2 linked regions of the Caenorhabditis elegans genome follow. The protein of the gene in region 1 purifies or fractionates together with the protein of each later gene. This does not show direct contact. Each region holds a gene or a part of one and is shown on either strand. Other genes may lie near its edges.

Region 1 (6,854 bases):
CAAGCGATGTTTCCGACGTAGTGGTTCGGATCGGTGTCGCAAAGGGTAATTTCTCCTCCGTTGGTGATGTCGTTGGCGTCACGGCTAAGCCAGAAAGCGAATAGTTGATTCTTGCAGATGGCGGAGTTGGCGAAGATTTGGTCCATTGGCTGAGAGATCTTGTTAACAGAGATAGTGTCCCATCCCATTCCGAAGATACCGTCAAACTTGGCAGCGACGAAGGTGATTCCTGGCTCAGAAGTAGCACAGGCCAATCCTTGGTTCTTATCAGTACAGTAGGTGGTATCATGTCCGAACTATAAATATATTTTTCAGCTATATTGTAAATAACATCATAAGATTGACTTACGCAGACAACATCGTTGTCAACGGTTCCCTTCATGGATCCAGTTCCGTATTGGATCTCGAAAGAGGCTCCAGTAGCAGTGCAGGAAGAAGACTTCTTGCAATCAAACTGAAAATTATTTTATTGAAAAAAAGTTGATTTGAATACTTCAAAACTAACTCTGTTGTGCATTCTGCAGGCAATATCTCCGAATGGGCAGTTGGCGCATGGCACCCACAAGTTGGAGGATCCAGTATCGAACAAAACTTGGAAGTTTTGTGGTGGAGTTCCAATGGTCACTGGTCCATAGTATTGAGCATTGGAGTAATCAGAAAGACCCTCGTTGAATGCATCCTTGTTTGGAATGTATCCTGGGACGTACTTGGCCTTAAGATGCTCTTGGATTGATCCGAACTTGTATTGTTCACGAGTGTAAGTGCGCTTCTCGAGCTTGATTCTAAAAAAAGAAGAAACATGATAAATAAATAAAATAAAATAATTTAAATATATGAATGGTATATTAAAAATGTAACTAACCTCTGGATGGCAGAAGCCAAGGCGACAAGAGCCAGAAGAAGGAAAACGCGGCCCGACATGGTGCGTTATCACTAATTGAGAAGCAGCGCTCCGGGTTTCTTTTATATGCGACACAAACTCTTGATGATATAATTGTAAACGTCACAACCGATTTTAGTGATAATTAGTAGAGGAGGTTGGCTGGCTGAAAACGGAATTATTTCCTCTCACCGAGTCAAAAGTTTAGATCGGCTATTAAAGTAGTGTACTTTGTGTGTAAAATGAGGGAAAACCATTAAAAAGTGTCCGGGTTGACAAAATGACTTGCTGACAAGGATCCGGATTTTATAGCGTTCTGTTTGCCAAAAGAACACATTAAACTTTTTCCAGCAAAATCATATGTACTTTCAGCAACAAGTCAACACTGCTTTGTCGTCGTCACACCCTCATCGTCATTCTGATCAAAATAACAATTTCAATGGCCTACAATTCAGATTTGTTCTCCCCTATTAAAATATGACTACACTTTAAAATTAGTTCTAGAAAGTTCCACACGTTAAAAATTTAATCGGCTTATTTTCACAAAATATGAAATCATTATCATTATCGTCAAATTGTCTCACAATTTTCGTTACGAAGTAGATAGGGAATACGAAATCAGAATTTGGACATTGGACTAGATGAAATAAATTGAGAACTGTTGCAGTGGTGGAGCAGGTGTGTATACAATTACTAATAATTTTAGAACCTGAAGTAATTTTTATAAATTTGTTTCATTGAACCAAGTATTGAAGTTTTAAGTAGTAAAACATGTGTTACTATAAATTGGCCGAAAGTTTTTTAACAATATTTTTTGTTGGCTTAAAAACACTTATATTAGTCGTGCATGACCAATAATCATAATATAAATATACATACTTCAAAAACTTTTAGATATATATACTTTTAAGTTGAAATTTTGGAAATTATATTGTTTTCCAGCCACTTCCAGAATTATGATAGGTGAAAACTAAGTTTTCTTGAATTTTCGACTGCACAAAAAATTTAAAAAGTCGTTTGAAAAGTTTCACTATAGTCTTAAACCTTTAAACCACAATTTAAATTTCATTTTCACAACGGCCAATACCCAACCTTTGACAAACTCTGAATTCTAGTTTTTTCAACAAAAAAAAGTGTATAAATGACGAAAATGAAAAAACTTTTTGTAGAATGATAAATTATTTCCCAGCCGCTGTGTCAAGGCTAATTAAACAAAATTGAAGTTTTACCTAGCTCTAGTTTTTTTTAATGATTTTAAAAAGTCTAACTTTGAAAAATTTACAATTTTCTTAATATTTACTCTTTCTTTAACAACTTTTTACCTTTTAGATTAAAAATTGTTCACCCCTTTTCTGAATTTCTGAAAGAGAGACTCTCCTGAAACCAAAATTCCAAATAAAGACATTCATATCACGTTTTCTTTCAAGTATCGTTTTTAATGTATATATTCATTATTTTTATCTTAAAAACATTATTGAGACGACATCAATCAACCCCACCACATCAGTTTATCTCATCAAGTTCATCATGCTCTAAAATATCGTCAACAATGATTTCCCCGGCGGGTCTTGTTGGCAGCTTCCCTCAAACCGCCAACCCAGTTGAGCTGTGTAAAAAGCAAAAGTTTGTGCGGACGGCTCAGCGAGCAGCCGTTGTAAAGGATCTCGTTCCACACATCTCTTTCACACAAAATCTTCACTTAAAATGAAAATTCGTTTACTCGATTTTTCGATATTCTCCATTTTGTTGCTATTTCGAACGTCGAAATCATTCAAAGCTCCTACTCACGTGACTGCAACCAAGGGAAAGTTTTTTGTCCACACTCTCCATTCTGCACACTTTTTCCCGAGCACAGGTGCAAACTATTGATCGTTTTTATCAATTGCTCTTTTATTTTCAGTTAAAGTGAAATGGGAAGCTACGCTAAACAAAAAGCCGGCTCTTCCAAACTGGTTACGTCTCTTACCGTCGCGACACCCGGAAATCGCTTATCTAATAGGTGATCGATTAGTTATTAACACACCAGTACATTCATAAAAATAAAATCATCTTATGATTTTTATCGTAGTTATGTATGTTTCAGGCACACCGGTCACAAATGTGCAGCATGTTACACTACACGTGATTGCGAAACGACTGGATAATTTTGATATACAGCAAAGAATGGTGGTGATTAATTTGGTGGAAGACTGTTAGTTTATAGTTTAGAACATTAAAAAAAAGAAACAGTAAACTGTAATTTTGCAGCATTGTATCAAGGAAATACGCAACAAGTTTTTGAACTGCCAATAAATGGACTAGATGTAGAGGATTTAGTTTCAAATCGAGACAGAAAAATAAGTGAGTAATAAAAAACACACTTTTGTCATCATCATCATAATATTGTTCAGGTCAACTAGAAAACTCATTGCGAAACACATTCCGGGGAAGAAATGTAAACCCATATATTGCAGGTGTTCGCTCCAGATACATTATTCCACGTGGCAAGGAGCACATTTTCAAAAATAGTTTCGGGTAAAAAAATGTTTTAATTCAATTCAGTTTTTGAAAAATTCAGAACAATGGTGTATGTTGGTACACAGCAAAAGTTCTATCCCGGAACCATGTCAATTGTACACAATTTACAAACTATGCCCGAGTTTTGTTCAAATCCCTCATCTGTCGTGATGAATAAGTATTTTGCACCAACATTTCCGGTGGACTGGTGTAATGTTGCGGTAGTAAGAACAAAATAATTAAATTTGTCAACATTCTAAAATGTTTAAATATTAATTCAGAGAAATATTTCATCTCTTGAAGGAGAAGGTATTGATGAATTGATAAAGGATGAACAAGAAGAGAAACTGACAAAAGCGAATCCAGATCAGGTAACTTTTAAACAAAACTCTACATGTTTTGAGAAATGCACAGCTTTGAAGCGACCGTAACTTAGTTTTCATTTGATTATTAGTTTATTCAACATTTTACACTGAAGAATAGCTTAACAAACCAATTGAACGGCTCGAATAAAGTAGTAGCGAGATGGAAATGGACGGATTAGCAAAGTTTGACAGTTAAGCATAAAATATGCATTTGGCCTTGAAATTTTACATAGCCACAATAATCGCGTGCGGTTATCGGGGTGAGCTGGCAAATAGCAAACGAAAGTATTGCGGCAAGTAACCATAACCTGAAAGAAGCGGACCGGGCATGTGATTAATGTTTTCTTCAAATTTTAGAATTTAATTTCAGAAATTTTCAAAAAAAAATTTCAGAAAAAATGTCTTTACATTTCAGAATTTGAACGAAAAACCTGAACAACCCCCACGTGAACTATATGGATACTCAGAACATGGTTTTAGCATCGTCTTATTTGCCATAATTCTTGGTGTTTCAATTCTTTTTGTTTTTGCACTCGTGCTCATTTTTTTTGGGTCAAGAGAAGGGCAGAAATGGAGAGACGACAAAACGTCTGGGTATATTTTACATTTTAACTTCAGTTATTGTACATGTTTGTACATAGCTAATTTACAGTGAAACATTGGGCGAATTCATTAGCATTCGTGACAATCAGAAGAAGCTCCGCGAACTATCACTTCAAAGGCAACTTCTGAGCATGGGACCAGACACGAACTCCACTGCGCCTTCTGGAATTCATTCTTATTTACAATCAAGAAGTAGAGCTCCAAGCACTAGTATTGCGAGATTTAGCAAAAGTGCGAGTAGACTTAATGATAAAGGTACTTTGGTTTTTAATATTATCTTTGATTAATTATGTTTGTTCAGAGGATACAATTGAGCTTCTCCCTTCAGTTGATCATGTCCCGGTTGGAAAACAAACTGTTGCAGAAGCGGCAAAACAGTGTGGAAGTTCTTTGCATTTGTACAGAAACCCTCTGAGTAATGAAAGTGATGAACAGGATACGGAGAGTTCTGATGAAGACAACTAGACTATTAAATTACATTTATAAGTATTCAATAAACGATCTCAATAATCAAACACCGGGATATTTGTGAATTTTGCTGTACAAGCAGTTGCTGTACAGGCTGTTGTGGCGCCTTCAAATTCGTAAAACATGATGAGATTTTCCCCTTTGTGAAGGAATTCCGATGGAATATAAAGAGTTTGCTGAAAATTAACTTTTGAAAAATATATTAAAAACAGTAAATTGGGCACCTGTGGTCCAATAGAAGCCCAATATCGTCCAATGTTGTACTGATTGATAGTCACAACGCCTTTTCCCCAACCTCTTGTGTCTAGAAAAGTGTCAGCTGGAGCTGTTTTGATTATTAAATTTCCAATGAACACCGACGGTTGCTCTATTGCTGCCGATTGAGATTTCTGTAAATAAAATAATATATGACGCACGTTTTTGAAGTAGCTGATACTTCAAAGTCAATTGTTTCGAAAACATGTTGCTTCAGACTCTCGTAATTTTTCACCAAACTAATTTCGTATGTTTCAATTGGAACTTCACAGCTCTCCCAATTCTCGAGAGTTATGTTACGCATGTAGACATTTCCTTGAATTCCCTGGAAGAAACTTCTCAATTGAAAACGTACACGTTGGGGCCTTACTCTTGACATAACAGGGTAGTTGTTATGGTCTCTACCAGTTATTTCAATTATGATTTCCAATGAGTTGAACTGGTCCAAACATCCTTGAACATCTATGGTGTTATTGTGAATTGAGCCAAATTGTTTGTAAAGGGCACCCTGAACAAAATAATTATGCTATCAATTTTGATAGTCATGACATAAATATTCAAGCAATGAATTCTCCTGAACTTCTTCTACAATGCTAAAATTAGCTATAAAAGTTTGGCACGTTTTTAATTTTGGAATTTCAAAATACCTTTTTCCATAACGGTAATTTTTTCAGTACCTTCAAATGTTTAGATTCAAATAAGCCAGGTTTAAATTTACAACTGTGCTCTAAATTCTTCACTTTTCAAAAATTCTATACAAATATAAAAGTTTACCACAAAGTTTTGATTCAAGAAAATATACGCATTGTCAGCAAAAGTTGGAATATACAGGGATCCGCACTCAATAATGGTCTGGAAAAACCAACACTATACGAAATTTAAAAATCTCAAAACCAACAGTATTATAATAAATGTATCCATATCCTTGACGAATATATTCAGCCGTTCTAGGCGTTTCTGGGCTGCTCCAGCATTCGGGATTTGCGCCAATTATGAAACCAGAAATTGTGTCAAATACTGTGAGTTGGACGTCAGGATACGCAGTCCGTGGTAAGTTAGCTGGAATTGGAGTCGGCGGATTCTGCCAGCCAGGAATGTTGCTGATCCAATTTCTAATGGAAATATACAGTGGATTAACATCACCAGCTTCAGAAATAGGAGCAAATGAGTCATATGACGTGGTGACAGGGTAAGGATCGACGGCTCCGTTCCAATATCCGAAATTTGTGCCGCCGTGAGTCATATGAAAGCTTAAACTAGCATTCAATGCAAATGCGGCTGAAAAATAATTATAATTTTAAAGTTATTTGCAAATTTACTTTTTGCCGTTTGAATAATAAGATTATTTGGGTAAGGATCAGAAACATTTTTGCCCCATAGTTTGAATGGATTGATAAGAAACTGCGAAGCAACTGCCGGCGCACCTGAACTATTTATTGTTTCAATTATTCACAAATTTGTTCACAAACCTTGCATGAATGCTTTTTGCATACTGAACCAACTTTCAATTTCCCCGGCATTTGCATTTGGCACAATTTCGATAGTTGGTAGAATATTTGGAAGTGTTCCACATCTCATAAATTGAAGAACTGGTGGATTGACAGTGAAAAGAACAACATCATTTCCTAAATTCTCCTTCGCCATATTTGCAAGCTGTAGAAGATATTGCTGATCACAAATGCCGAGCGCACCGTAAAAATGCTCAATTTGAACCATGAGAACGGGCCCGGCGTTTTTTCTCATGAGCGGGTAGATTTTTGGAAGTAGATGTTTCCACCATTGAGTTA
Region 2 (6,737 bases), on another chromosome or scaffold:
AGAACGAATCGATGAACAAGGAAATGTCTGTGCTCATTTTAGAGCCTACGTAATGTGCATTTAAAAAATGTAGTGACAGAAAATCACAATTAACTTGAAAAAAATAGTTCTGAAATTTGTTTAGTTAGGGATGTCAAACCGGAATTAATAGGACGTCCAGCATTCGCTTTTACTAATACTGGACGAGCAGGTACTATTTTTTCGGCGTTGCAATTAAATTTTTTTCTTTTCAAAAACCAGATTGCATGACTTTGGCTTATTGCAATAAATGAACATAGTTTTTGTTTTAAAATTCGTAAAGTTTGGAGCGAGAAGTGAAATCTGAACGTTTTTCACCACATCCAAGGTTTTCCAGTTGTTCTCAAAATCATGAAACTTTTTGGAAACATCCGAAATTGTTATCTGGTTCCGAATAATCTCTAAACAAGTAAATTTTTGGCTCAAAATATGTTCAATAAAATTAAAAAACTGGCAAGTGAACTGTAGAAAAAAAATCATATAAATATCTGATAACAATGTTTAATCATTGTAATTTAGTAGCTTAGTATTATTTCCCACATATTTATTTACTGGCCTTATTGAAGCTTTCATCGGTTGTGATGATTTATTAACCATCTAAAACTAACCTCCGAAATGATATGATCGTAGTCAGCAGGATCACAGATCACACTGACACGTTCGTGATTCTTGGCAGCTGCTCGAAGAAGCGTGACTCCTCCTGAAATTGAGAATGTAGTTGAAATCGAACGTTTCATTCTCTTTTATAGCTACAATGAAAATGGACCCACGGGGACAATTGAAGGTTTATAGATTTACTCTCTGATGTCCTACTGTACAATTAATAATAAAACCGGACACAACAACATTTTAAGAATATGAGTTTATATTGTGATATAGATTCTAGAAAAAATCTGGGCGGGTTTTACATACCCGGAAAAACAGGAAAAAAGGTGAAAGATTCATGAAACAAAAGCCCTTTTAATGGGATAAAAATGTAGGAAACGGTTGGAAAAACAAATACAATGGGTACAATTGAACGAATATTTCCACTTTTTTGTACTTTGTGCTAAGATCATAAAATGTCTATAACCTTATCCTTTTTTTAATATTAAAAAAACCATTCGATTAGAAGTTATAATATGGAAATTTCAATGATACCAAAAACTAGAGCTCAAGCTTTACGAAATGATGCATTCGTAAGATTTGCTCCTTTAAATGTTTCTGAAAGAATTTTCTGAAGATGATCACAGATTATATGAACTTATTGAGAGGAAGTATAGAATGAAAGTGTAAACGAATTATTATTTTCTCAGTTTTTTGTTGGTTGTATTGTCTTTTTTTGTGAATTCTCCAGCTTCCGTGTTAATTGAATTTATATTTTGAGGAACTAAAAAAGACGAACAAGAAGAAAATATAATTGTTTTGGTGTCAGAAAGGATTTAGGAAGGGAGAAGAACAATACATACATGTTTTCACAGTGATAAGTAGAGAACGATTTTTCAGAACCTGAACGTGCCCAATTTCACGAAATTGATATTTCAATTAGCTCAAATAAAACTACTTGATCATAGTATTGTATGTGATAATATTGCCAATTATTAAATCATTCACTAATGCTAAAATGACGAATTACATAACATAGTAAAACTTATCAAAAATCTTGAATTTTTATTTTCATCCAAAAGTGACAATTTTCCCCCTATCATAATAATGGAAGGCGACCGAAATATTATTTTTTATACAAAAAATATATTTTGATAATGTTTAAATTATTTTCAATTGAACATTGTAAGTCTTTGAAAATGCAAGAATGGTCTATTTCATTGACGAACATCCGTTTTAACTTGATTGAATTATTAGCTTGAAGTAGAATTACACCCCTTAAAATTATATGCTATTCCAATGAACTATAATATTTGGTAACTTATTTAAAAACAGGATGAACACTTTAAATTTGAAAAAATTCAACTTTTTAATCTAGGCCGTATGTTTTGGTTATGAAGTTCTGCTAAAATGATTTTCTGATTTCAATTTAAGCTGTTCCTGTGAAAAAATGTTGATGTTTGGTTTAGGGTTAGAAGTCACGAAAGGAGCAAAATAAGTCAAGTGCATAAATTGAAATCAAAAGGAACAAGGGGAAAAAGAAAGATGGCAACATAAAACAAAGTCAATTTTCCGGATGAATAAACTCAAAAAAAGAAAGAAATAAACGAACCAATGTCAATGTTCTCAACAGCTTCTTCTACAGAGCAATCCTTGGATTGAACAGTTTTTTTGAATGGATACAAGTTGCAAACCACCACTGAGACGAATGAAATGTTGTGTTTCTGGAAGAAAGAAAATAACCAAAAAATACAAGGAAGGAAAAGAAGATGAAACAAATTCAATTGAAAATAGAAAGAGAAGGTAATTGAATAGACACGGGCGGTAGAAACTGACACGTAGGCTTGCTCTCGGTGCATCATAACAACACCCCAATCAGTTGTGTTCGTTGATTTTTACGCCAATTTTTATGGATGTTCCAAGTTTAATTTTACTCTATGGTTGATGACGAAAGTTGAAGGTTTACAGATTATCTCACAAAAATCTTATTTTCACTCTGAATTGATAAAATATTTCTAAAAATACACAATAGAATTTCAAATAATATAATGTTCCTGGAGTATTATTTTTTGATTATCTCAGAGATTCAATGTTTATCCTGAAATGCAATATGACTGTAATACAATTTTCCGGCAAACAAAGTTTTTTGACTAATATTTTGCCGTTCTCCGTTCAACTGAACGCTAACTTTATGAAATTTTTTTTCGGTTTCTAATTAATAATTTAATTTTAAAGGTGACATATCTCAACTTTGTCTCAAAGTGTTCTAGCCATCAGGGCTGGCACTTTAATCCCAACAAGAGGCAAGACATAGGTTGCGAAATGCGCAAGTAACAAAAAATTGATTCAAAAAAATCCGAAAAAACTCTCTAACCCGTTTTCCAAAAAATTGTAATCCAACTTCAAAAAATTAACAAACAATTGTCAAAGTTTCAGATTAGACTAACTTTTTTTTTAAACAAAAGCGAGATATAATGTTTATTTAAAAAAAAATTATATAATTCGAAATAAGAATTGAAATTTGAATGAAGTCGTGACGACAAAATGAAGAAAAAGAGGACGAAAAATTGTCTTCTAATCTTCTTTTTGTCTCCTTCTCAACTCTTTATTTTCACGAGATAAGCCTTCTTCATCTGACGAAAGGACCAACTTTTTGTCACCCGTTAGCCCTTCTTTTTTTGGTTTTTTTTCTTCACTTCATTCTATTCAATCATGAATTCGATTAAACTAAGTAATGGTGAAATCTTTCAAGCCAGTACAAAGTTCATTTTGTGAGATTCCCGGAAGTTCTACAAAATCCGATCTTTTGTCAGAATTGTTTTGCACAAATGTTGCAAATTTATTTATTTCCACTTAATATAATTTGCAAGTTTCAGTTGAAAACGGTTCGACAACAAACAAGTTAGTTTACAAATAAAAAAAATTCAAAAAAAAAAGAAAATAAGCTATCTCACCTCTAGATCCTTTCGATCACTTTCCGTATCTCTTGCCAAGATTCCTCCATGAACGGCAGGATGCAGAGTTTTAACTCTTCCACCAAGCATCTCAGGAAACTTTGTTACATCTGCCACATCATGAACATCAATTCCTTGATCTCTGATCGCTTTCGCTGTTCCACCGGACGCAATAAGTGTTAAGCCAGCAGATACAAGTCCATGAGCAAGAGGAATAAGTCCTGTCTTGTCAGAGACCGATATAATGGCTGAAAATTAAAAATGTTTAGCTTTATACTTGCAGTTTATTTTAGTTCATTATTGTAGTAGTTTTCATTTGTTAAATACACAAAAAAGGGTTTTCCAAATCAAGGAGCGAGGTGGGTGAGGTTAGAGGCGGGGAAGAGGTGCCCCCGTAACGCCTCGACCTGGTGGAATGTCTAGTTCAATAAATAATTTTAAAGAATAGAAATGAATTATATTTATTCCGGGATTGCTTGAAAAATTAATTTAAAAAAATTCAAAATGAAATTACTTACCAAGTGATTTTCCGTCGGTCATTTCACACAATTCGTCGATGTATTGTATCAAGTCGATAGTCTTGTAAAATTCAATTTCTAACATTTTGTTTAATATTTTTTATTCGAGACGTAAAAATCACACAAAATAAAAAATGAACAAGGAACCAAAAAACACTAAAAATAGAAACTTTTGAGATAATCACAGGAAAACGATGGATGAGGAGAGCATGAGTTTATGCATTTATAAGTATTATTTTGTGAACTTTGAAATCTTGAACATTTTTGGAAAAATACACTCAGAAATTGGCAACTTTTTCAATGAAAAATGTCTTTTAGACTGGTCAAATTGAACAGTGTTGCTCAATTTTTCAATTGATAAGATAAATTTGATAACGAGGCAAATATTATTGTGTTTTTATTGCTTGTAGATGAAAGAATTAATAATCGAAAAAAAATCAGAAGTAGAAAATAAAAAGAACTTTGAAATCGATTTTAAATATCGCAAATATTATATAACTTTGAAATCTGTGTTGGTGTTTCAAAAACCAATAAAAATCTAATGTTTCTCTGTTCTTATAATAAAATCAAAGCTTCGAATTGGAGATATACGTACATTAATTTTTTTTTCTCGATTTGCCAGAAAATCTTCAAAATTTCAAAAAAAAATTCAATCGGTAGTTTCCCTTGATAACAAAACACAAACATTTTTATTATGAAGTGATGGTGTCTCTGTTTTACGACGGTTTTTATTTGTTTCTGTGTGTTATCAGTTTATCAATGTTTTACTTTGACAAAAGCTTTTTTACTCTGTCCACCTATACTTGCAGAATATTCCTTAAAATTGAAAATATCGAGAGGATCTGTTTCCTCTCATTTCAGTTGTTAGCAGTAAATTAGGCTTCATGTAAAAAGATTTCTGTGTCTAGATTTCATGGACCTATAAATAAATGTTTGGAAATCGATGACAAGAAATAAATTGTTTTTATTTCTAGACATAATTATTTTTTCTAATGATATCTTTCTATTTCTTAAATTCTAAAAACTAAAAGTTATATTTTATTTGAAGACCTGACTACATTTTAGCTCCGGATTGTCGAACTGTTGATACGTGCGAAGCAACAAACATTGTACGTCCACTGACTTCTGTTTGTTTTCCAATTGATGCTAATACCAGGTTACGAATACGACTGCAACTTTTTTTAAAAATGTTTTCAGTCAACCAAAGTTCTAAAACTTACGGATTAATTAATACATAAAGCATTGAATTGATTGAATTCCAAATCATCCATACAACATGTCCAATGAACACTCCAATTGGTAATTCCCATGGAATTGGTAGATATTCCCATGTCAAATACCCAATAACATGAAATATAGAAACACATAATACTTGAATTGTCAATATTAATTCTTTCTTTGACAATAATGCTGCTTTCTGAAAATCAACAAATGTTGAAAAATAATGAAACATTAGCTCTTCTGAAGGGAAATGAAAAGTTTCAAAACATTCTTAATACAAATATCTGCCCTTTGTTTGCGACTACTGTGAAATTTTTTTCATATACCTAAAACGTTTTGAGATTTGACGAATTGAAAATTTAATTCGAAAATCATGGGGTAGCTGTAGATGATATTGTACTTGAAAGTTTTTTGCATGAAATACTGTAGAAACAGTTTTCGATAAGTTTTTTTCTTCAATTTTCTTTGAAACGAAATTATATGTATGTTTTACTCACAAAATAAATATAACTGAAGATAACCAAATGAGCAAATAATGAGAATACGACATCTATTAAAGATATATCAGCACTTACAGACCTTAATACAGCTGATAATGGATTTGAAGCCTGGAAATAAAATTGAAAAGTTGACTATCATTTGGCAATATGCGAAGCTTTCGCCAAACATAAAGTGGGACTTCTCACAGTTGTACTCACGGCATAGTGCCACGTGTAAGCAGGTAATAAATAAACCATTCTACTGAATCCAAAAGCATTTAAAAAACAAACTATACACCATACAATTAGAACTATAGTGAAATATATCTGAAAGGACGGAATTGAAAAAAAGATAAATCATGTTAATAACCTACTTTCATATTGAAAGAATTAAATATTTTGTTGGATTGAAAATGAAAAACAATTGAAATGAGCCGATTAATATTTAAAAATATGCTGAGAATGAGCATTGAGACCCATGATGCATTCATCACAGCTCCGATTAACTGAAAATAAAAAAAAATCAGGATAAGATCTGCTAACGAAGACATACATAATCGGGAAAATCAAAGTGAGGTTTAGAATTTAAAATGTAGAATACTGCAGTTAGATGTATAAATAATTGAATTGTGTCAAAGAAAGATATCATAAACATTATCTGAACATTTCGCAATGGCTAAAGAAACAAATCATGAATTATATTACTCACCTGAAATGCAGATAACTTTTTTAAATCCTTGTCAGTTATCATAACACGCATTACCAAAAATTGAAGAATTATAAAGAAAGTACAAAAAATTAGAATGAAAATTGCATATGGAACTTCTCGCTGCCAATAGTCTTCATTAGAATATACTGGGAAATCAACAACACCTGAAAACCATTTTATATTTGAACAATTTTTGAAATTGTTATTGAATTGCATCCTAGAGAGACGATCATCTAAGCATTTTTAAACTAAT

Evidence for each region. Proteins that work in one complex are often made in the same cells at the same time.
Region 2: the proteins of sgca-1 (region 1) and atic-1 fractionate together in Caenorhabditis elegans (co-fractionation; one large-scale study listed by BioGRID). This does not show direct contact.

Annotation. Positions count from the first base shown.
Region 1 is NC_003284.9:6,785,258-6,792,111, reverse strand, and holds sgca-1 (Dystroglycan-type cadherin-like domain-containing protein), read left to right. Parts: upstream 1-2,563; 5' UTR 2,564-2,584; coding exon 2,585-2,735; intron 2,736-2,780; coding exon 2,781-2,879; intron 2,880-2,963; coding exon 2,964-3,071; intron 3,072-3,127; coding exon 3,128-3,220; intron 3,221-3,270; coding exon 3,271-3,394; intron 3,395-3,437; coding exon 3,438-3,600; intron 3,601-3,657; coding exon 3,658-3,747; intron 3,748-4,156; coding exon 4,157-4,335; intron 4,336-4,393; coding exon 4,394-4,599; intron 4,600-4,645; coding exon 4,646-4,809; 3' UTR 4,810-4,847; downstream 4,848-6,854. Other genes in the region: asp-3 (Aspartic protease 3), read right to left, coding at 1-296, 350-454, 506-782, 863-921; bgal-2 (Glycoside hydrolase 35 catalytic domain-containing protein), read right to left, coding at 4,848-4,988, 5,037-5,201, 5,249-5,392, 5,438-5,575, 5,842-5,919, 5,966-6,345, 6,387-6,491, 6,537-6,854.
Region 2 is NC_003282.8:7,879,427-7,886,163, reverse strand, and holds the start of atic-1 (Bifunctional purine biosynthesis protein ATIC), read right to left. Parts: upstream 4,137-6,737; 5' UTR 4,098-4,136; coding exon 4,076-4,097; intron 3,806-4,075; coding exon 3,558-3,805; intron 2,328-3,557; coding exon 2,216-2,327; intron 719-2,215; coding exon 627-718; exon of another isoform or gene 594-626; intron 1-593. Other genes in the region: srt-73 (Serpentine Receptor, class T), read right to left, coding at 5,130-5,244, 5,296-5,492, 5,794-5,904, 5,995-6,102, 6,150-6,281, 6,329-6,433, 6,485-6,648.